Arabidopsis thaliana: one gene and its partners. The protein of the gene in region 3 interacts with the protein of the main gene of each other region in a pairwise test. Each region holds a gene or a part of one and is shown on either strand. Other genes may lie near its edges.

Region 1 (8,440 bases), 4.8 Mb from region 3:
CACTACACAAAAAGGAGTCAACTTTATCACGTCAACGAAGATTAACAAACAGTAATCAATTATATCTTGAATTTGACATCAATGGGTACAACAATGATCAAAATGGTTCTTCAATTCCTCAGCAATAAGAATCAAATACATGCGTATTAACGGAAAAAGGAATCGTCGATTGACACTGGAAAGATGGGAACTTGTTGAACTAAACGAATTTGAAGAGGAAGAGGAAGATGGAGATTAGAGTTGAAGTTGGTGGGCTTACATTGGAAATGGAGCTGATCAGAGAGATTGAGAGATAGAACTAAAACTGGTTTGGTCCGTCTTGGAGATAGATTAGAGAGAGATTCCTCGGCTTGCTTTGTTTTTCAATTTTTATATATAATAAAGTGTTTATTCAATTAAAAATTCAACATTATTTAATATCTAGAATGTATAAATAATTTTACTCAAGAACTAATTAAAATAAGCAAAAATTATTTTCATAAATCATCTACTTTTAAAATTTCGTTTGATATATATTAATATTATCTACAATAATAAACCATGTGTGTACAAATTTTTTATTGTTATTCTAAAAAAAACACGAATATTTTCATGTAACAAAAATATGAATATCCGCAAAAGGTGGATCATATATTTTGGTATATACAACAATGAAGCAATAATAGACTAGATTTGTAAATATTTAATTAGTAATTATGTATGTGAGATGGAGAGTCGCTATGTAAATAACTAAATATATACAGTACACAAGGCAAGTCCAATATCGTTATCAAGATCGGTTTATTTCCAAATCCTAGCTTACATCTCTATCTTCCTCTTTTAAGATATTGTACAAAAATATTCGTTTTATGTATATTTATCTTTCCTTGCATGGCTTATATTAGGAAGATACGTTTTGCAATTCCATTTCTTCCTCTTCACAAGATGAAACGAAACTTGGAAACGTCCTATTTATGTCCCTACATTTACCAAGAATCTTCTGATTAGTCAATTTGATTCAATGCAACAATCAAAGCAGTTGGTTTGGATCAAAGTTGGTCACGGTGTAAATTATGAACTCACTTTAGATATGGCAAAGTCATGTTCTTGATGAGCGATGGATTCAAGGATACAAAGTCTTTCCATTCATCTATATCGATTTTTCCGTCGTTTTTGCGGTCTGCTTGCACGAAAGCCTGCAAATATATACCACCATTTCCTTATAAATTCTTTATCATATCATCTTCAGTATTGGAATTAATATCTAGTAAACAAATGTGCATCGGTGTGGGAGTGATTACCTTATCCACCATTACTTCAATCATATCTTCGGAAAGAACTAGTTCGGATTCGTGAAGAAGCGCTACTACCATCTCTTTCAACTAATCAAAATGTAATTCATTATGGTATATACATGTTAGATCAACACACATAAACGTTAGTGGAGTAAAACTGTTTAATCTGGAGGGTACCAAAACAAAGTATCCGTAAATGGACTCACTTCTTCTCGCTCGATGAATCCAGTTTGTCGTAAATCGTACAACTTGAAAGCAACTGCAAATTCATGAGAAAATTCTTTGTTAGTTAGCCAATTAAGAAAAGAATATCAAGTAAATTCACATAGAATGAATATGAAACAATTTTTGGGGCTAGAAGAATGACATTTGACTTTTTCATGGACCGGCGCGCTTGGATGGAAGACACCTAAGGACCGGACAAATTCACCAAACTCGATCACTCCATTTCGCTTCACATCAAATACATCAAATATCTGCATATTATAAAACAGAACTTTGTTTAAATTTACATATGTTTTCAATAATGTCACTTGTTCTAGCTAGGTAGTTACTATATGTACCCGATCAGCGAAGAGATTCCTCCGGTTCCTATTTCTGAATAAAGCCAGCTGAAATTCTTCCTGCAACATCAAACTTTTAAACTCTAATTAAGCTATATAGATTACCTAATTGCTGTCTACATATGGACCTTTTAGAGTGAAAGAAGAAACCTTATGAATAAGACCATCATCGATAATTGAGCTGCTTAGCTTCTTGAACAGTTCATACAAAGCCTCCACTTCTTCTACCGTGACTATTGTCCCTCCCATTACAAGTAAAATAAAATTTGAAAAAGTTTACCAAACTCTACAACATGCTATTGTAACATTTAAAGATTGTCTTACTAATAAGATTTTAAACTAAAAACTAACATGGCGTGACGGATGCAAGAAGCTCGGGATCCTCATATCCCGGTGGTCGCATTGCATTCTTCTTCTTCTTCTTCGATACAGAGCAGCCCATACAAACACACCCTTCTCTCAACTGTTATTAGCCTTTGCTTTTCTCACGCTACAACCAAACGCAAATAATCTTGGTTAATTTACAGATATTTCATTGTTCCTAATAATTTGATGATTTTATAAAACACCCTTCGACTGAATCCTACATTCGTTTTCGCTGGTTTTACTTCTACTAAAAATGGTCCTAGAACAAACCAATTAAGATCGAGTGCAATTAATAATAGGCAACTTGTTTAGTTTGTCACGTTATTGACTTTTCTAGTGTTTTTTTTGTGGTCAAACTCAAACAAAGTAAACATATTTTGGCAAACTCACGAGATTACCAAAATGTTTCTAATGAAATTCAATATTTAATTACATATACATACATGAAATATTAATGTAGATGAGCACTAATCATGTACATCTAATGCATGTATATATATATCGTCTATGTATATGTAACATTTGAATTTCGTTAAAGGCAATCTAGCGTCGAATTCATCAAAATCTGCAAGAGTTTGACAAACATCGATATTAAAATTTTGAAAGGGTCGACGTTTGAGCAAATATACAATAGAAGTCGACGGCTATACGAACGATTATGTCATTGGTTTATACATTTTTTTTTTTACATAATAAATACATAGGATATAGGTGGCAAAGTTAGCCATTAAAATAGTTGTAGCTTTCACGACAGCTAGTAAGCTCTCCCTAAACAATCAATTCATTAACAGAAGTAGCCAAAATTAGAACAAAAACAGCGTTTTCCCTATTTAATCTATAATTTAGTAATGATTCACAATAAACGTAATGAAACCAAATATTATATAATTCACAGAAGGTGTAGGCAAGTCGCCGTATTAGCCACGCTAATGACTAGGTGTATAGATATAAGAGATAATTAGTTTACTCCTAATTTTATTATCCCTAATAACATAGATAAATGATCAAAGTCTCCTATGATATATGCATACATATAGATAATACATAAATACAAATACCGGATCAATATCAAATCTAATCGACGTTGGTCCACGTATATACATGAATCAGTCAATGTACTCTAGTAAATATCTACAAAGATGTTTTCTTTTCTTTTCCAAATAAGCTTGAACCTATGTCCAACTCAATCACAAGAACACATTTAAGCGAGTAATACAACCATGTCGTAAGTTTAGGAACATAATAAGAAGCCGGATAGGTTGAATAAATAACGGCTTTGAATGGTAACTCATTATCAAAGTTGTACAAACTGTACAACTTTGACAGTTACCATTCAAAAAAACTTTATCAAAAACGTTACAAAAAGTTTTATTCTAAACTTTTCTGTACAGCTCTTTTAGACAGTTTTGTACTATTTCGTAACAGTTTACCGCTCCAGCTAACAGCTAAAGTTTTGTGTTACCAATCAGACCCAACATGATTTAAGTTGTTTTGGTGAGTACATTTTTAAGTGAAGAGAGACTAGAATGGATTTTGAACGAAAAGGATAGAGAACTAAGAGAAGAGTTACAATATGAATGGCCATGGGACCACATTAAAAAGTGATGCTTTATCAAAAATCAATAATCACGAGATTGAGACAACCTTTTGTTGCTTTTTTCAATGTAGGCAATTTATATGTGTTTTACTAATAAATAAAACAAAAAGGGCTTGATTACACTTACACTAATATCTAGAGACTATATAGTATATTTAAATCTCGTTTTGTTCCAAAAAAGCCACGTAAAATCCTCAACCATACTAGCATTTAATTTGGTACATATCAGAGCCTGTCTTTGACCAGGCAAAGCGAATCTTGAACTTGGAACCTCAAATCTAATATAGTATATATTTGAAAACTACATGAGCCTAGTTGGTTAATTAATGAATCATTAATAATGATCAACTAATGCCTAAGGAAGGTTTTGGTGCATTTGGCTTTTCTATGACATTTCTAATTAATGTATTAATTTATGGACCATTTTGATTTTGTTATGTGTGGAGCCTCCAAATTCTCATTACCTGTTTTTTAGATCTATACGTAATCATACTCAATGTACGTCGTGTAAACAAACTTAGACATATCTAATTTAGAAGCAGTATTTTCATCTTGTTGTTTACTTCTCGCGATCTTTTTGTATAATTAATAACAAAAATGTTGTTTAATCAAACCGGCCACGCAGCAATATGACGTTTTAAAATTAATTATTTTCTCTATAAGTATTTAAATAGTAAAAATGAAAAAAAAAAAAACTTGCAGCTATTGACTTTTATAATTTATTTGCTATAAATAAGTTTATTAGGTGTGGTCTTTGATTTTTAGTAAGAAATCAAATTTGCCATCTCCTCTCCTTAGACTCTAAATCACCAAAAGTGACACAAGAAACAAAAAAACAGTTCTAAATATCTAATGGCTACCAACTAATTAAACACCCACCAAAATCGAACCGAGATGGACCAAACCGGATATGATCCAATTTGTAATCTCTAATCTGAAATAACTTGATTTCGATTGAAACCAAAACCAAAGCCAAATTCCATTGAATGATTAATGGAATGTTGGAAACTATACACTCAATTAGAAGAAAAACAAAAATCAAACGGTTCAATTCAGTCTATAGCACTAAAGAACTCAATTGAGTCAGTTTTAAAGAATGGTTTTGCTTTGGTTTGTTTGTTTTTTCTAATATTTAACCGAATTATACTAAATCTTATCAGAAGATTCCTGGAAACACGGACATATTTTGACTCTTTCTTGAAGAAAACCCAAGATGGGATAAACTTCAAGCTCATAAACCTCCATTTCGAAAAAAAGAGAGAGGAAAACAGTGAATTCCTTTACATATATCTTGAGGTGGACTAAAAATTACGAAACAGAAAACCAAAACATGGAAGTGATAGAAAAAAAAAACATTGGATAGAGATGAAAGATTTTCTCAGCAATGGTGAATCGAAGAAACAAAAAAAATAAGATCAAAAATAACTAACCAAGATATGGATGAATCTCTATATGTTCTTGTCGACTCTTCACTTGTCTCGATCTTGAATAATTGAATAATGGTGTTGGAAGAGGAAAAGGGCAAAATGAGAGTTATTTAAATAGAAGAACAAATTTGTGACGAGCTTCCCAACATCGGGTTAGGTTTGTGTCCGTCCATGCGCAGATGGATCCCGATGTTATGTCGGTTTTGAAAATATATTTTTATATCGTGTACTATAAACTATATAGCAATGTTTCCTCGACCTTCTATTTATGACAAACAAAAAAAATATTAGAGTAGTACTGTTTTCAAGTCCCACCTCACTTTTTAATTTCCTTTTGTTGACACTTGTGGTGGTTGTTGGCAAATAATCTTTTAAAAAATTATAAATATGAGAGGCAGTTTTTGATATAAAAATAACCTAAAATATTATTCACTTCTGAAAATACACCAATTTTAAAAAAGTTAATTATATATTTCATAAGAAATTTTGTCTTACACCTTCGCTTGATGTGTTTGTCTTGGACCTTAGTTTGATGTTTGATATAAATAAAATGGACACTCTTGTGACCAAAAAAAAAGTCGCTAATATATTTCTTAAACTAACTAATACAAATTTTCTTACAGATGATTGATAATTACATTTATACGTATGCTCATTTTTGTAGTAATTATTATGATTCCGATAAAAATGAACTCGATTGTTTATGAAAATTTTAACAATTACCATGAAAACGTAACTATGAAAGAGATATATCACATTCATCATCGTCAAGCTACCAGATTCCACAATGTACATCACTTTTTATAGGGTTTGGAACTTGTCAGCTGATCATACCCGTCCTATAAGAGAGCTTCCTACTCTTACATAAAAAAAAACATGACAACACTGAAACTACATGTGCCTAACTTTTCTAACTTTCGTCATGATCCACAGAGTTTTATTTTCTTAGTTCAATTACAAAATCTTTATTTTATTTATAGTTGACCCATCATTTCATTTGCACTTTTTCAATTAAACAAAAAATTACGATGTGAAATGATAAATTTTCCTTCACTTTTTGCCCACTAGTATTCTCTTTTTGTCTGTTGGATTGGTGATATTTTAAAAGTTTGGTTTTGCTACCATGGCTATTTTCTTATAATATGTTCGTTATGGTTCAAAAAATCTAGTTATTTAAAAAGATCATAGCAGCAAGATCAAAAACAAACTTTTGAAATAGAAAATTGGTGAACAAAATACCATTAACCGAAAAAGAAAATGAAATTTCAGAACAAAAGTGACTAATCCAAAAACACAAAAACCAAACCGATAACCAACAGGTAAACAAACTGTTTGAATCGTTTTAGGTCCAGTTTTACTCTCATTACTCTAAAGACTGAGACTGGATTAGCTCTAATGAGTTTGTGACATTGTGATATTTTTCATTTGTTTTCTTCATTTTCTTGTCTACCTTACGCATTGAACACTTCTCCTCCTCTATCTTCTTCGCTGCCATTCTCACTTTATCTCTTGCTGCTTCCATTTTTCTCAGCTTCACTTCTTCATCCTCCTTTAGTGTAATCGGGAAATGAAATTCCGGTATGCTGATCCAAAAACCATAAATCATATCATCCGCAGTAAATACAGATGCAAGGAATAAAACTCGAGTTTTGAGCTTTACAGTTTAAATTCAAGAACTAAAACGGATACAAGGATCAAGAAAAGGTCAAGTACCTGCACCCGGAATATATGAATCCGTTATCTTTTGCGATAAAACCATCTAAAGAGACTGCACCACCACCATTGATGTGTGGAAGAGCTGCTTTAACTTGCTTTTGGGTCTCTATACCTGTAAATTCCCAAAGAGATTATAGAACAAAGTCTCTCTAAGCCCGTATCCTGAGTAAGTTTGAACAGTGAGCTCCTCTGGAGCCAAATCAATCATGTTCACGGCATAGCCCTTGAAACCCGGTATGGGATCTCCATCGGGCAGCTTTGGGTCATCCATGGCTAATTTCTTCTGAGGATCGTTCTCCAAAAGTCCATCCTTCCAAGGTCTGCGTGTTTGAAAAGATCACTTATGATTCTGTCAGAAACGACTCTAAGGTTTAGCTATCGATATGTTGACAAATACCTGATTGCATCAAGACATAGAACATGAAACCGATGATTGGACTGAAGCCTGAGAAACTCAGCATTATTAGGTCCAATTTGTGCCGATTTGCATACCAAAGCGAGCAACATGTCTTCTCCCAAATATTCAGATAACACCCTGCATACCAAATGACTTCAGATACAAAAGTTTTGGCCACTATGATCAGTAGTAACACTGTGGGTATAAATTTATGTCACCTGCTAAGGGAGGTGGAGGCAACTGAACCAAGAAGTGCTACGAGGCCAAATACTCCTTTCTTTGACAGAAACAGTGACTGTGGAGGCGGTGACTTTCTGTACAAACAACAGAAAACTGATGCTGCAGTGTCATGATGCTTCTCTTCAATCTGTTTCATCATTGATTCTTTGGTGGATAGGCATTCTGGGAACATAGCACCGAGAGGTTCTAGAGAAGCTGAGATAAAGGTTTAGGCAACATGAGCAGGTAAGCATCAATGCAAATTCAATCCCCATCGTAGTTATCAAAACTTCTTCAAATGATAATAGTTACCTTGCAAGGTACGCAACTCTTCCTTAGCCTGGTTTTGTTCAGCTTCCAAACAATGTAGGCGCTCATCTATTTCCACTCTGTGTTCACTGTATCCAATAAGATTTTCTTTAAAGCTCTGCAGGAAAATTCAAAAGTTAACTCGGAAAACAAAAGTTAGATCATTCGAGAAATCGTTCTGCTTTTCCTAGGCATAAATGAAATGTAAACATCAATATCTGTGGCTTAAATGGTGATGGCCATATACCTCAGTGAACTGTGCCACATCCCTCAGGCTCGGGCCAGTTTGGCTACTGAGAGCCGGTGAATATGTGGTTGAAGCCATCTTTGATTTAGGTGTTAAACCCATCCTTGAATAAGATGTCTCATCTCTTTGAAGTATTTGAGCAGGTGTAAGCTGAATCTGTAAATCAAGAGGACATGTTATCAACAACCGGCATTTTCTACTCATTGTAAAAACATATTGCAACTTGTAAGATAACTCAGTCCACAACATTACTACCTTTAAGCTCAGATGAAGCTCGGGAAATCGAGAATGGAAAACCTTGAAAGAAAAGACACCCTCCCTCTCA
Region 2 (8,895 bases), on a different chromosome or scaffold from region 3:
ACCAAAAATACTTGTAATTCCTACCTAGGATTGTGAAAGACCATCTCGAATCATGATCCCAAGGATCGAAGTCTTTGGAGATGCCAACAAACAAATTGGATTGCAATTCATCGCAAATGGTACAAATATCCAAAATCTTGCCTCGTGTTTTCTAAATTGAGAATCTTAGAACACTACATCACAAACGTTTGGATCATACACAAATGTAGAACAAAAAAGAAGATTTAATTGAAAAATCAATTGCGGAAACCATGTTCCAAATTACAAACAAAAAGGAAGTATCACCAAAGACATAAACCCTAACAGTGTTACCTATTCTCTATCACATTATCAAAATCCCAAAATGGTTCCTCAAAAACTCTGATTTGCCATATCCAATTATTCTTCATGACCTTTCCCAATAAAAGAGAGTAATAATTACAGAGAGATCTAATGTTTATCCTATATGAGAAAAAGTACCTGTGTGTGTTTCACAGTTTCATCATACATCATCATGCTCAGAGTGTTTTGGTGCGGTCATATGTAGATAGGTTTAATATCATTTGGTCCAAAACTTGCTGAGCATGTTGGACACTTCTTTTGTCGAGTTCCTGTGAGCTTTTGCACACATGGGTTGCAGAACAAATGGTAGCACTTCGTAATCACCACCTAGTTTGTTAAGCCAAAGACCAAAACCAATCAGCAATCACGCACGCAGTTGACTAAAAGATTCAAGGGATCATGATTTGAGCGTCTTGCTGAGATCTAAATAATGGAGAGCAGTGACTCTTTACCTCTTTTGGGCGATCGTTGCAGGCCTTACACTTCAGAATTTCTTTAAATTCACTGAGTTCTTGTCGGAGCTTTTGAATGGCCGATGATCCTTCTATGAGAGACCGAAGACGAGAAACTTTCTTTTTGGCTATTTCCATTTCCTCCTCTATCCTTCTCCTATTGAACCTGATATACGCAGAAAAGAACGATACCTTCATCACTAACACTTGTTTATGACTATTAATTAGGATAGAGAAGATGGAGGGAGCAATTGATTTACCTTTCAATCTCCAGTTCCAGTTCTAATGCCCCATAATCCAGCCGACTTTGCTCAACTTTAGAATGGGACTCCTCCAGCCTTGACCTAGCTTGTTCCAAGCCATTCCCGATGTCTGCACGTTTCTTTTGCAGATTTTCAAGAGAAACAGACTTTTGATATTTATCTTCCGCTAGTTTCTGAAACTGATCTGTGCAGAACCTCAACTGCAAGGAAAAAGAAAAACACCTTAGTCAAAGTCTCACAATAAGGAGGCTTACAATTTGAGCATACGGGCACACACAGATATACCTGATCTTCAATTCTTGATGATTTCTTGGATAGGAAACTGGCATATGCACTGCCTTGCTGTATATCCTTATCCATGATGTATTTATCGATAAGCAGAGTATCTTGCATCTGCCTAGAAGTTATGCCTTCCAAGAAAAGCTGAAACAACAATGGGCGAGCAAAAAATTACATCTCATTGTCTGATCCAAGTAACAAACCATCCTTTTTTTCATGATATTCTAGCAAAACATACAAGGTATAACCACAGAAATTGGTCCATGCCCATTAAAACGATCCATCAATCTCTGAATAAATGTAACACTACTAGATATAAGAGTAAGTGAGAAGTCACAGAGATAGATCAGATAGAGGAACTAGAAGAGTTTGGACACGATACCTTGATGTTATAGTCATCCCTCTCTGTAACTTGAAGCAAAAGCTGTTGGTTTTGCGGTACAATGTCCTCATAGGCACTTCCAATTGTCTAAAAGAATATAGTTACTGTAAATCGATACGCAACATCAAGGTTTTTAAAATATGTTAAGAACAAAGAAACACGAAATTTCATAAGCCAACCTGTATTTCAGAAAGATATGTTCCATGTTCTTCATGTTTAGATTTCAAGATATCAGAATGCTTGGCGACATCCCTGAAACAGAAAAGACTTATCCTTGTCAAACAAAAAACTCTCAAAGAATTCCTATGGAAGAACTGCGTGATTGCATCTATAAATTGCAGACTTCTACTTATACTTATTTACCTTTTACAATCATCCATTTTCTGCCTTAAATCAGCAATCTCTGCTTCCGCAGCAGCCAACATTTGTTGGGAAACGGCTTCAGCTTCATTTGCTGCCTTAACGCGCAACTCCAGATTTTGCTCATCAAGGGATGATTTCAAACTCTGAACATGAGCCCAAGCCCTGTACTCCTGTTCCTTGGCTTCAGCTATGTCCCTGCCATAGCACATTATCGACAGTGATGCTTAAGGCAATATACCAACCGCATTATAATAATGTGTTCAGTCAAGATAAGAAGATAAACAAATCCTAACACATCCAAAAGAGTTTTTATCAGATGGAACTGTAAAAATAGATCAGATATTAAAAGCTGTCATGGATAAATTGAAAATGTGAACATAAGTTTCTTCAGAAACGCAAGAAAAATTAACAACAAACTTTCAGCAAGATTCGATAGTTCAGTCAGAAGGCAAGATTAATAACAGCACTTGTTGTTATACTATATATTTGGACAGTGAGAAGGGGAAGATAAGGAAACTTTTCTCTAAGAATTGAAATCTTAGATATCGTTATATATAGTTGTGCTTACCTCGCATCAGTGGACTCACGTTTATACATGTCCAGAAACAACTTTAACTCCTCATGACTGTTCTTCAAATCACAAACCTGCATGACAGACTCCAATCAATTGAAAGTAAAGAACATAACAACTACCACTTTGCCAACCAAAGACATTTAACAAGATTTAAATTGCTAATCCGCCTTTTCACTATACTTTTTCCAAGAAATAATGCAAAGTAACAATAACCAATATGAACACTGTCAACATATATAAGTCATGGGCAGTACACTGAAAAAGGTAGATACATTGCATCATACCGTAGCATTCAGGTCACCTAACTGAGAAGCATAATCAGCTGATCTCAATTGCAATGCTTCATACTCTTTTGTCTGTTCACCAATTAAGCTTATTAAGTAAGCATAACATAAACTGTAACAATAAGCATCAATCACTGTTCACATTATTTCCCACCTTCCTACATAGAACCCCAGAGAGGGACTGGACATCAGCCCGCAGAGAATGAATACCTCCAGCAGTCTCTTTATAATTGTTTAATTGACTACGCATGGAACTCATTTCCTCGGGGAACGAAGAAATTAATGCCTTCATATCTGCAAAGATTTCTTTTCTACCTGACATACGAATAACTTAATCAGACTCCAAAGTGAAACAGGTGTGGGTGGGAGATACAGAATTGGAAGTCAAAGTAATCAATTTGTGACCTCGCTCTCTTGATATATTTCCCAGCCTAGTCTTGATTCGCATTTTTTCATCCAGTTGTTTCTGTATCTCCGAATCCAAAGAAGCCATTCTAGAATCAGTAACAGCAGACGTCTTTCGAGAAACATCACCTAGTTCATTTTTTATATTTATCTCCCTTTCCTTCCAGACTATACTATCTTTTTCAACCTGAAATTTTCGAATGGAGGAAAGCTTCACAACTAAATATACAACGTAAATTTTATAAACATAGATACAAAATGAAAATCGCAAACCAGATATAACCTGCAGTTTCTCAAGTAAAGCCATATACTGGAAAACTGCTTCTTTGGATTTTTCTAGCTGGTCTTTCAAAGAAAGGCAGGCTTGAGAAGATGAGATGCACCTCACAGACTTTGACTTGTTCTGTTAGAAAACTCTTACATCAGTTTTAGCAATAGGAAGAGGCTACCATTCCACAAATTTTCATATATCAAACCCCATACAGAGACAAACTAATACAAATACCCCAATTGGATCAATACACTGACCTGTAAATTACTCATTTTTCCAAGCATCTTTGTCCTCTCCTCATGAAGATTTTTTAGCTGTTGTAGCCTGCCTGAAGCCAGGACCTACCGAAACCAGGCCGTTATCAACCCAAAACTTAAAGAATTACCAATGAAAACAAATCAGAAAAACAAAGATACCGTTAACTCTTTCAGAACTGTTTCCATGTCTTGCAGATCCCTTTGTTTATCCCTCTCCCGATCACTGGTAGCAAGCTTATTTCCAAGACTCAACACTGGGAAAAACGCCCCAGCTGTTGCATCCCTTTCTGCTCTCAATGCTGACAAGTCACCATTACACTGCTGAAGCTCCACAACCTCATCCTCTAGCTCCCCTTCGAATAGACCAAATAAAGTATAATATCAGTTGATGCGGTAGTCAAGAAGCATTAATCCAAAAGCAGGCATGTAAACTAAAATAAATTTTAACTCTTTGAATTTCTTAACTGTGGCTACTGTCAGTATTGAAATCTTACATCTTAAGGTAAACGGGTAATTTATCAACAAAATTAAGATGCTTCACTTATGTGGATGTATGTCATTCTCAAAGAATTACCAGCTTCTCTATCTCCTAAAATCTACCGAAATATATAAATATGGGTAAATGGTATAAAAGAAAACTAAGAAGTTCATGTCTCAGAAGGGTTTTGTACACCCATCAGTTCGCTAATGAGTATATCTTCCACAGCTACATGTCTTCTTAACAGCTGGCTCTACCATAGAGGTTTTCTTCCAGTCTTAATGTATCTCTCTCTTCAATCTTAATCTCTATGATCTAAATCCAATCATGGCTATTAAACAACTGAGTAGTGCTGGACATAAATACACAGGCGTGGAATTGGAAGATTCACAATTTGATCACCTCTACTTACACTTATCCTCATCAATCAAAAGCGAGATATGATTTCAGTAGCTTTTCATGTATATAGGACCTTTTTTTGTCAAGCCACGTATATGATTACAAATTTACATTTGATGCATGAATACTATATCCATATAAACAATGCCAATTAAAAAATCCATTTTAACAGTATATAGTCGAGTGAGACGAGACTAAGTAGCTACCTCTTATTCGTTTGAGGTCTACTCTAACTTTAGCATCAGCATCGCGATGACTCTGCAATTCTCTAGAAAGTGATTTGAACTTCACAAGTACATCATCTAGATCCCCTCTGAAACTTTTAATTTCTGATTCCAACTCACTCAGAGCTAGCTGACCGCACAAATCTAGAAAAGAAAGCAATTCCACATAGGACCTGGGTTAATACTAAAATGTTATAAAGGCCATAACAAGAGCTGACAATTGATCGCAGTGGAAGTCATACCTTTACCAAGATTGGTTCTGAGAACTGTGGGATATAATTCATCCTTCAGACACCTCAAATCCTCTGTCGCGGCTACTAGATTATACAAGGTTTGCGTCATCTGGCTTGACGTATTCACTCCATTTTCTTCCATCTGATTCGAGCAGATATTGGATGAGGAGCTCTCAGTAGCACCAGTTTCAAGTAGCCGGTTGATGAAATCGTTTTTCACGGCTGGAGAAGACCCATCTGTGTAGCAATTTAAAGTTAACCTTTCAAAAAGTCATATTTGTAACATATAAAACCAAATCTAAACTAGATCCTAGCACTAACAGAACGAAGAAAAGGCGGGCTTAAGTTGTTCATACCCTCCTTGTTTACAAACCTATGAGCTCCGCTGCTTGAATCACTCACACGAACAGAGCATGATTCCACTGAAGCTGTAAGCTGCTATACAAGCATTAATTAGTTCTCTAGAAAAAGAGATCTAATCCAAGTTCTATTAGAATCGAAAGCAAATTCAGTGTTACCTTTTCCCAAGACTTATGGACAGTCTTCAAACTGGAGTTGTATGGTAATTGTTTTTCCTTGATCTGAGAGAGTTTATCCTCAAGAATAGAACACTCAACCTGCTGAGCCTCTAGCTTTTGTGATAGCTTAAGATTTTGGAACTGAAGAACTGCAGTATCAAGCTGTATCAAACGAAAACAAACTCCTTAAGAGAGAGAATCCCAATTCCAAAATAGACCAAATTCGAGACAAAAGACATTCAGTATATGAATCTCTAATAGCTGGAAAGCTATGATTGATTGGATAAGTAAGAGAATAGATGTAAAGGGCATGCACAAGGGGGAGATGAAGAAGAAAGAAACCTTGTCCTCGGAGGAGGGCCAAAAGAAAGGCTGTTTCTTTACGGCGGCTGCAGCTTCAGAAGGTGATATGGAGCTAAAGTGACGCCTTTTACGGTCAGGCTCGCCTGTGCTCGCCATTGAAAAACCCTAGAATCGCCAATTAACAGGATTAAGCCTTGTCTCACATCACCATCAGATTGAGTTTGAGGAAGCTCGAATACAAATCCCCCAAACCCAATGAGAAAACCCTAAACGATCCAAAGCTACGTGATTGCTTTAACCGAGGTAATTCCAATTGCTCCGCAGCTCTCCTTCGGAATAAAAAAAAACAAACAAAAAGAAACCCTAATCTCACAGGTCTTCCAAATTCGATCAGACTCTAATGCTATCAAACGCAAACAGACTTTGTCTGATCTTTGTGCGACTTAGATATTACAAACCGAGAACACACACAGCACTCACAGAAACAAAAACAAGAGTGAAAAGAAAGAGAGAGAGAAGAGAGAGTTGAAGTTAATTCGAGTACGATGGCGTAATTTTGTGAACATCTGGAGGGCACTTTCGGGAATTACATATTCCACTTACAGTATATAAGCATCGGCCGTCCATAGAATCTCCAACGATCCGAGCCGCACGATCACGGTTCGTTAAAGGAATAGAGAGAAAAACATAACTAATCTTCTAATAAAAATTAATCAACAATAAAAGAAAAAAAAAGAAGCAAATTAAGTAGTCTTATAAATATAAAATCTACCGTTTGTAATAATTTTTTTGTTATCGTGTGATTCAAACCTGATAGTAAATTAGTAAGAAATAAAACAAAAAGATAGAAACAAATACAGTAATTTGAAGTCTCAAGACGAAAGTAGAAATAAAACAATTTGGTTTATCAATCGATTTTTGTTGCGAGTTTTTGTTGCCTCTCTTGCTCAACTTGGACAAGCAAAGTTAAGAGCGCTTCACAAACTTGAGCAGCATCAGCTTCTAAAGGAACCTCGTTCAAGGAAGAGTACACCATCCAGGCATGGTCTAGTTTACGTTTGGGTCTAACAACCACAGAACCAGGAACCTCTGCGTCACAGCAAGTCACTAGCCCGTCACTCTTTTCACCGTATCTGACTTGAAGTAGCTGAGCGCAAGCAGCCATTGCAGCACCAAGTGGCATTACCACTGGCAGTTTTGCGGCTTGGTTTGTCAGAGGAAGTTCAGCGTGTGCTACGTGTGATAAAGTGGATAGAACCGCTGGGCTAATGCTAGCTTCTGTGCGGAATGAAACCGTGGGGAGTTCTCGGGGAAGCGGATGATTCTTCAAGAATTCTTTTCTTCTCTCGTATGTTAAATCTTCCAATGCTTGAATGTCACCCTTCACAATGTTCCAAGGAATTCATCAGAAAGATCAGCAGAGCAATAGAATCCAGAAACAAAATAAGTTTTGGTTTATCCCTAGTTTCTCGGTTCCACCTAACTAAGGATTTTAACAGGCAATCACAAGAAGCTGATATAATGCAACTGAAATGACTTTGTTAGATCAGGAATGTTGCAAACCTTTATGACTTTGGAGATTAGAATCTCCATCATCTTTCTCAAATTGACGTAATCACCTAGTTGTCCTTCACGGAGGATATCTGTAGCTATTGGGCTTCCACCATATGGACTCTGCGCCAGTACCAACCCAGCGACCTTATCCTTTAGTTCAGGCCAGTATAGTGATAAAGCAGCAGCTGCATCTATGCCTCCTTTGCTATGCCCAAGAAGTAGAACCCGCTTATTAGATCCCCAACAGAGTTCCTCTATGTATTCCTTTATCTCTCTCGCATTTTTCTCAACCGAGGACTGATATATAAACATTTCTCCATATATTAGTATGCTATACACCAAATGTAACTGTACTAAGTTGAGTTAGTTATGATTACCTCGCTGTGAATCTTCGCAATATGACACGCCAAACCCATCTTTGAGAATTTCGTTTTCGTATCCACAAAATATAGAGGTCCATGATTGCTGAAAAGACCTAAAAAAAATTCAACTAATTTTGAGAGTCCTAATATACAGTAATGTAGTTTAAGTGGCTGGCAGCAAAGAATAAGAATTGCTACCTGGAACCAATAAGTACACCACTGTATTTGGAAGCCTGTGTACACCATGCCTGGATATAAAAACCAGATCAACGCAGCCATTTAGTAAAAAACAGGATGTTAAACAGCATATTGAAAAGGCCACAAAGCACACAAAACATGCAACTACAACCAATTCATACCCGATGTCTTCCAGAATTTTATTGAACCTATCAGTTCCATCTTCAACAGGAGGCATCTCCGGGGCACGCTGTAACCATCCTATGTCATCTGCCGAGCCACGAACAGTCCTCCGTGCCCGCTCAATGAGCCTGATTGAATTAAAATAGATCAATCACCCAAATGCTGAAAACTTGACAAGAAGTAGTAGTGTATAGAGATTATTGTATTGCTTCAGTTTCACATATTCATAGTATTAAGATTTTACATATCTACTAGTATGGGGAATTTGTATCTGTAATACAAAGTACACGTACCCTTGGAACATTGAAATTCCATTTAAATTTAACCGATTCGAAGTCACTATTGCATTTGTTGCCTGTGGCAGAATCTCTGTAGATTCCCTCGACGGGCTGTTGGCATCAGATGTAGATGCCTCTGAAGAAGTTGAAAACCTTTCACCAGGCGAAATGCATACACTCACTGGGGAATTCCCGTCAACTCCGGAAGTTGATCGTAACAACTCATGGGGGTGGGAAATAGTATCCTTGCCACCATATTCTACTGAAGAAAGCATTGAAAGAACAGATGCTAAGCAAAGCCTGAATTATGTTACGGTGACGATAAGATCCTAACA
Region 3 (5,995 bases):
TCAGGTTAGTTCTAAGATTATGGTATTGTTATTTATTTTAAAGCAAAACAAATTTAACACATTGAATACGTTTTAAGTTAGTACTTGACTTCTTTTATGCTGCGTCATACTTTTACCTAATTTGATGGATACCTTTTACACCAATGGTTTTTTGGTGATTATAGCCAGAGGGAGCCATTGATATGAAACGTAGATATGTTGGCCACTGTAACGTAGGAACTGATATTAAGCAGGCCAGTTTTCTTGGTCAGAGAGGTAAGTTTCTTGGGGTTGCAACTTTCATGTTATCTGAGTGCAATTTTCCATTCTAGTAGAAAAAGCGGTTTATAAAATTTGAAATTCAATACGGTATCGACTTTCTGTGAACATTTTATTACCAAATTTCAGGTGAATATATTGCAAGTGGAAGCGATGACGGTCGGTGGTTTATATGGGAGAAACAGACTGGAAGGCTTATGAAAGTGCTCGTTGGCGATGAATCAGGTGATCTTTTTTCCTTTCACATTTTATCCATTACATAAGTATCTTTTTTTTTCATTGAATTTCGAGTTGGCTAAAAGAATCATCTTTCGTCTCTAGTTTTGAACTGCATTCAATGCCATCCGTTTGATAGTGTTGTAGCAACGAGTGGAATTGATAACACAATAAAGGTAAGCAGGCACACAAAGCTGTCTTCAGGGTTTGGTTTTCATTTCGTGTAAGATCTCTAAAACTAACATTTGCATGTAAAAATATGTGTACAGATATGGAGCCCAACCGCATCAGTCCCATCAATTGTAGCAGGAGGATCAGCTGGACCAGCAACCGCCAATGTAGTGGAAGTAATGGAGAGTAATCAACAGAAGCTAAGCCGCAATCGAGAGAATCCTCTGTAAGTTTTCTGGGATAGGTGGTTTGAGTTAATATAAAAGCTCCAAGGCGGTTTCAGAGTACACAAAATGGGTTTGATGATTTGGTACATTGATGATTCATTTGCAGGTCTGTGGAGCTAATGCAAAGGTTTAGGATGCAAGAATTTGCAGAAGGAAACTTTCACCCATTTGAATGTACTCAGAGCTAAAGCAGGAGGGAACTGTAGAGGTATAATAAGCTTGCTTTGTGAAGGTGATGGTGGAATAACAATGGTTTTGAATATGAATAATGAATAATAAGGTTTGATTAGGTTTCATATGTAGCAAAAGCTTTCTCTCTGTAAAACTCATGCATAGCTTCCTTCTAAAAGCTTTTTTTGTTGTTGTTGTTGTTGTTGTACAGTTTGATATTGGCTTCTTCTTTTGAATGTGAATATTCATCGTTATTTTACATTGTTTTTTCATTTCTGTCGCGTTTAGTAGACAGCATAAGGCTGTATGTGTTATGTGTCCAATCTCGTTATTTTAATATAGACTTGTGGAGGAAGCTCTAACCACTTTGCTGCTTTAATTAATCTTGTCTAGTGTAAACTTTTTTACCTATTTATATATTGCTGCTGGGGGCACTTGCCTCCACAAGCCATAACGTGGGTCTGCCCCTGACTTTAGTATGTATTTGGACAAGGTATGCTTCTATTTGGACTAATCCCGCATACGTGTTTTTTTGTATACAATTATTAGTTATATTTTTATGGTGTTATTAATGGTTAGTAAAGTAGTCTAATTCCTGATCAGTAGACTAGATCCTAAAACATTCCTTGGTGGAACACAATAGATCTCCCTACTTTGAAGATAGTGACATGACATCCCTAAATAACGATTAGCTAGCCGTGCATTAAGTTTTGGCTAATAATCTTTTATCTTTTGATGATAAAAATGGAATTGAGCTATATGATTTAGAAACAAATTAATATTGTAAATGATTTTGAATTTTTGTTTTTAAAAAAAAATGGATATGTTAATTAGAATTTTCATGGTCTACTCACCAGAAACTTGATTTGTATGCTAGTTTATGAAATGATTTTAAAATAATTTAAATTTTTTATACGAAAGGTTGGGTGGAACCACCACATAAGATAAGGGGGACAAAAAGCATTAGACCGTTGGAGAGAATTATTGACATTATTTTAAGGAAGTTCTGTCAATAATTGATTACCTATTCCTTTTTCTCCGACGATATTTATTCGTGAAAAAGTAAAATTTAATAGAATTATAGAAAATCATAGCATTCAAACAGCATAATCTTATTTGATGATAACATAATCTAAAGTTTAGGTTATGTTATTTACACATACTGTGTTATATTTACCTATTTAAATTGCCTATTTCCTTTGACGTTGATTATTATTTTGACACTGTTTTATTTTCTTCTAGAAATTGGTGTATTGTAAAATAATAGAAAATTTTAAGTGTTACGTTATACAAAAATGATTTAACATTATAAGGTAATAGAGAATATTAAAAAAAAAAAAAACATACATATGACCCCCAAAGTCTTAGAAATAATTGTTAGCATCTAGTTTTGTCCAAGTAATTAACAAATTAAGAAAGGAAAAAACACAAGAGACATTGTTCTGAATGTTGTTCTTAAGAATAAAATCTAGCAAACAATATGCCGTGTGTAGAAATATAGAAGGTTATACAAAATTCTTTATGTACAACACTATAACAAAACAAAAACAAAATCTAGTACCCATAATTTTTTTAACTGCAAACAATATGTTTTAAATGATGACCATTTTTTTTTTTTTTTTTTTTTTGTAAAAAAAACTTATTTTCCATATAAAAAACAAATTCCAAAGAAAAAGTAAAGTTATTGCAGTGTGACATGTGTGACTTTGTGAGTGGCTTATCACCTTGTCTATAAATTCAAAGAGTGTTCAGTATATAATAAGAGGACACCACGTAGCTGCGTTTGTGATTCATTTGCACACTTCTTCTTCTTCTTCCTCATTTCTCTTCCTCTCCCATATTCCATGGAATTGCTCTACTTCTTCACCTATGAGAGTAATATATCCTCATGTACTCAAAATACTAATCAAACTTCATGCTTCAACACCACCTTTTCTTAATCCTCCTTCTTCATCTTCTTCTTCCACTATTTCATTTTCCCTAGTCGGTGTAAATATCAAATGGAGGAAGAACGGCGAGTTCTGTTCGGAAAGTACGAGATGGGAAGGTTATTAGGCAAAGGAACCTTCGCCAAAGTCTATTACGGCAAAGAGATCATCGGCGGCGAGTGCGTCGCAATCAAAGTCATCAACAAGGATCAAGTAATGAAGAGACCTGGAATGATGGAACAAATCAAACGCGAGATTTCAATCATGAAGCTCGTTCGTCATCCCAACATAGTTGAATTGAAAGAAGTCATGGCTACGAAGACCAAGATCTTCTTCGTCATGGAGTTCGTTAAAGGCGGCGAGCTTTTCTGCAAAATCTCTAAAGGTAAGTTACACGAAGACGCTGCTCGTAGATATTTCCAGCAATTGATCTCAGCCGTTGATTATTGCCATAGTAGAGGCGTTTCTCATCGCGATCTGAAACCTGAGAATCTTCTTTTAGATGAGAATGGAGATTTGAAAATCTCCGATTTCGGATTATCTGCGTTACCGGAACAGATTCTTCAAGACGGATTGCTTCATACGCAGTGTGGAACTCCGGCGTATGTTGCGCCGGAGGTATTAAAGAAGAAAGGATACGACGGCGCGAAAGCTGATATCTGGTCGTGCGGCGTCGTTTTGTATGTTCTTCTCGCCGGATGTTTGCCGTTTCAAGATGAGAATCTGATGAATATGTATCGGAAGATTTTCAGAGCGGATTTTGAATTTCCGCCGTGGTTTTCTCCGGAAGCGAGGAGGTTGATTTCGAAACTCCTCGTTGTAGATCCAGATCGACGGATCTCGATTCCGGCGATTATGAGAACGCCTTGGCTCCGGAAAAACTTCACTCCGCCGTTAGCTTTCAAAATCGACGAACCGATTTGTTCTCAAAGCAGCAAAAACAACGAAGAAGAAGAAGAAGACGGAGATTGTGAAAATCAAACAGAGCCGATATCGCCGAAATTCTTCAACGCTTTCGAATTCATATCCTCGATGTCTTCCGGATTTGACTTATCGAGCTTGTTCGAGAGCAAGAGGAAAGTGCAATCGGTGTTTACGTCACGGTCGTCGGCGACGGAGGTAATGGAGAAGATAGAAACGGTTACGAAGGAGATGAACATGAAAGTGAAGAGAACGAAGGATTTTAAAGTGAAGATGGAAGGGAAAACGGAAGGGAGAAAAGGACGGTTGTCGATGACGGCGGAAGTGTTTGAAGTAGCGCCGGAGATATCGGTGGTGGAGTTTTGCAAATCGGCGGGAGATACTTTGGAGTACGATAGGTTATACGAAGAAGAAGTACGGCCGGCGTTAAACGACATCGTCTGGTCATGGCACGGTGATAATAATAACACTTCTTCCGAGGATTGTTGAATCAGTAGTTTTTGGTTCTGATTTAACCGGTTATCGGTTAACGTAGTATAACTAAGAACTGTTACATTGAACCCAAATTTTCTTTGGTTTAATAAAATTTTGGTTTTACTTCTTTTTCTTTGGTAAGGATTTTGATTTTGCTTCTAATTGAACCTAATTGTGTTGTTTTTAGGTACAAATGAATAAATAATTTGGGTTCAGATTAAATTAATCGACAATTAAGGGTATGTTAAGTCGAAAACGAAAATGACTATGAGTCGGGTTGTGGTTTAGAAGACCGACACGTGTGGTTTCTCAGAGACTTCGAAAAGATTCACCTTCTGTTATGAAGTCAAATCATTTGAATTTTGAAGTTCAAATAGTTAGTGGAGAGGACAAAGTCACAACAAATTAATTTATTTATGGGATCCGACGACTTTTTTTCATTAGTTTTCTTCTACATGTCCAACTTTGAATTGTAGCTGGGCATGATCGTAAGATAGAAGATTAGATGTGATTGATGGGATGAAGATAATGCTAATCTGAATTTTCTGCATAAATGAGTATGTTTATGTGTATTCAGTCTATCAAAATTACCCATTTCATACCATATGTTTACTATCATATTTTGTAATTTTTTTAGAAGCATAATAATGTAATAACCTAAAGAACAAAAAATATCGACTACATCATGCAAGAAGTTTCGAAGAAACCCAATCCTGTAAGAATTAATGGCGTATAAGTTATACTAAGTGAAAGAAAAATCCCCCAAAAAGTTAAAATGGATACAGACAAAAACAAGGATTAAAAGATAACAAGAGTAATGAGGTTCACCAGTAAACTCAATCCATTAAGAAAGAAATGGAGCTTTCACCATAATTAATATCCGACCAATAATCTAAAAAAAGGATCAATCAGTGGCTAACATGGGATTTTAGGACAAGGGTTGTGTCACAGTCAGAAAGTGACTCCACCAACATCAAATGGATAGTATTAAATCGAGTGTTTTTTGTTAAGATTAGATTTAACTATTTTAGGAGAAGAGAAACACCAATGAGGTTATTACTGGTACGTATTTGTGTCACTTTATGTTTGGTCATAATAAAATGGAGGATGACATTTTGTTTGGAACATAAAAAGGATATTGTAAGTTGTAACAGATGTTGCACCTCCTAAGGAAGAGGGTGTGTCATGTCATGTGTGGTCCTCCCCCATGTTCAAAAAAAATCACATCCAAATGCAATCCACTAGTTTTTGTTGTTGTATTTCTGAACAATAATTGGGTTTGAAAAAGAAGAAAACAAAAATTCAAAAAACTCAAATGAAAATTGAAGTCTGCATTGACAAAGTATTCTTGAAATTTAAAGACATGTTCAAATCACAACCTAACTCCAATGCACTTCCCTTGATCCAACTTCTTAAGCTTTGGGCAAATATCCACAAGTTTGGAGTTAATCTTCTTCTCATTGTAGAATATAAAAAGATTGATATTGTAGAGAGCATTGAAATGAGAAGAATACCAAACTCTTCCACATTATCTCGATTTCAAATATTACAAAACTTATTTTGTTTGTGGGTCTTCTCAAACCGCTGCAACATGTTGCTTGAAATCTTCCTGGTATTAACGACAAAAAT

Evidence for each region.
Region 1: the proteins of CIPK5 (region 3) and SOS3 interact in a two-hybrid assay, tested with the Arabidopsis thaliana proteins (2 studies listed by BioGRID).
Region 2: the proteins of CIPK5 (region 3) and HUB1 interact in binary tests that used the Arabidopsis thaliana proteins (3 or more experiments, as listed by UniProt).

What each region holds. Positions count from the first base shown.
Region 1 is NC_003076.8:8,237,901-8,246,340, forward strand, and holds SOS3 (Calcium-binding EF-hand family protein), read right to left. Parts: upstream 5,544-8,440; 5' UTR 5,231-5,543; exon of another isoform or gene 2,328-5,230; 5' UTR 2,280-2,327; coding exon 2,189-2,279; exon of another isoform or gene 2,087-2,188; coding exon of another isoform or gene 2,071-2,086; coding exon 1,988-2,070; intron 1,911-1,987; coding exon of another isoform or gene 1,898-1,910; coding exon 1,838-1,897; intron 1,751-1,837; coding exon 1,642-1,750; intron 1,534-1,641; coding exon 1,481-1,533; intron 1,362-1,480; coding exon 1,281-1,361; intron 1,176-1,280; coding exon 1,063-1,175; intron 960-1,062; coding exon 881-959; 3' UTR 583-880; downstream 1-582. Other genes in the region: AT5G24275 (En/Spm-like transposon), read right to left, coding at 7,050-7,263, 7,341-7,478, 7,559-7,775, 7,872-7,986, 8,116-8,271, 8,371-8,440.
Region 2 is NC_003071.7:18,542,086-18,550,980, forward strand, and holds HUB1 (histone mono-ubiquitination 1), read right to left. Parts: upstream 6,568-8,895; 5' UTR 6,163-6,567; coding exon 6,046-6,162; intron 5,866-6,045; coding exon 5,704-5,865; intron 5,621-5,703; coding exon 5,542-5,620; intron 5,423-5,541; coding exon 5,195-5,422; intron 5,097-5,194; coding exon 4,935-5,096; intron 4,205-4,934; coding exon 4,011-4,204; intron 3,936-4,010; coding exon 3,852-3,935; intron 3,727-3,851; coding exon 3,607-3,726; intron 3,511-3,606; coding exon 3,324-3,510; intron 3,234-3,323; coding exon 3,073-3,233; intron 2,991-3,072; coding exon 2,919-2,990; intron 2,706-2,918; coding exon 2,629-2,705; intron 2,256-2,628; coding exon 2,061-2,255; intron 1,950-2,060; coding exon 1,877-1,949; intron 1,785-1,876; coding exon 1,698-1,784; intron 1,622-1,697; coding exon of another isoform or gene 1,586-1,621; exon of another isoform or gene 1,462-1,585; intron 1,460-1,461; coding exon 1,322-1,459; intron 1,237-1,321; coding exon 1,034-1,236; intron 940-1,033; coding exon 774-939; and 4 more. Other genes in the region: AT2G44970 (alpha/beta-Hydrolases superfamily protein), read right to left, coding at 6,914-7,387, 7,570-7,857, 7,938-8,035, 8,121-8,170, 8,282-8,410, 8,576-8,822. UniProt on the Arabidopsis thaliana protein: E3 ubiquitin-protein ligase that monoubiquitinates H2B to form H2BK143ub1. H2BK143ub1 gives a specific tag for epigenetic transcriptional activation and is also prerequisite for H3K4me and maybe H3K79me.
Region 3 is NC_003076.8:3,443,955-3,449,949, reverse strand, and holds CIPK5 (CBL-interacting protein kinase 5), read left to right. Parts: upstream 1-2,671; 5' UTR 2,672-3,043; coding exon 3,044-4,381; 3' UTR 4,382-4,921; downstream 4,922-5,995. Other genes in the region: ASG2 (transducin family protein / WD-40 repeat family protein), read left to right, coding at 1-4, 165-255, 388-483, 580-650, 744-871, 979-1,060. UniProt on the Arabidopsis thaliana protein: CIPK serine-threonine protein kinases interact with CBL proteins. Binding of a CBL protein to the regulatory NAF domain of CIPK protein lead to the activation of the kinase in a calcium-dependent manner.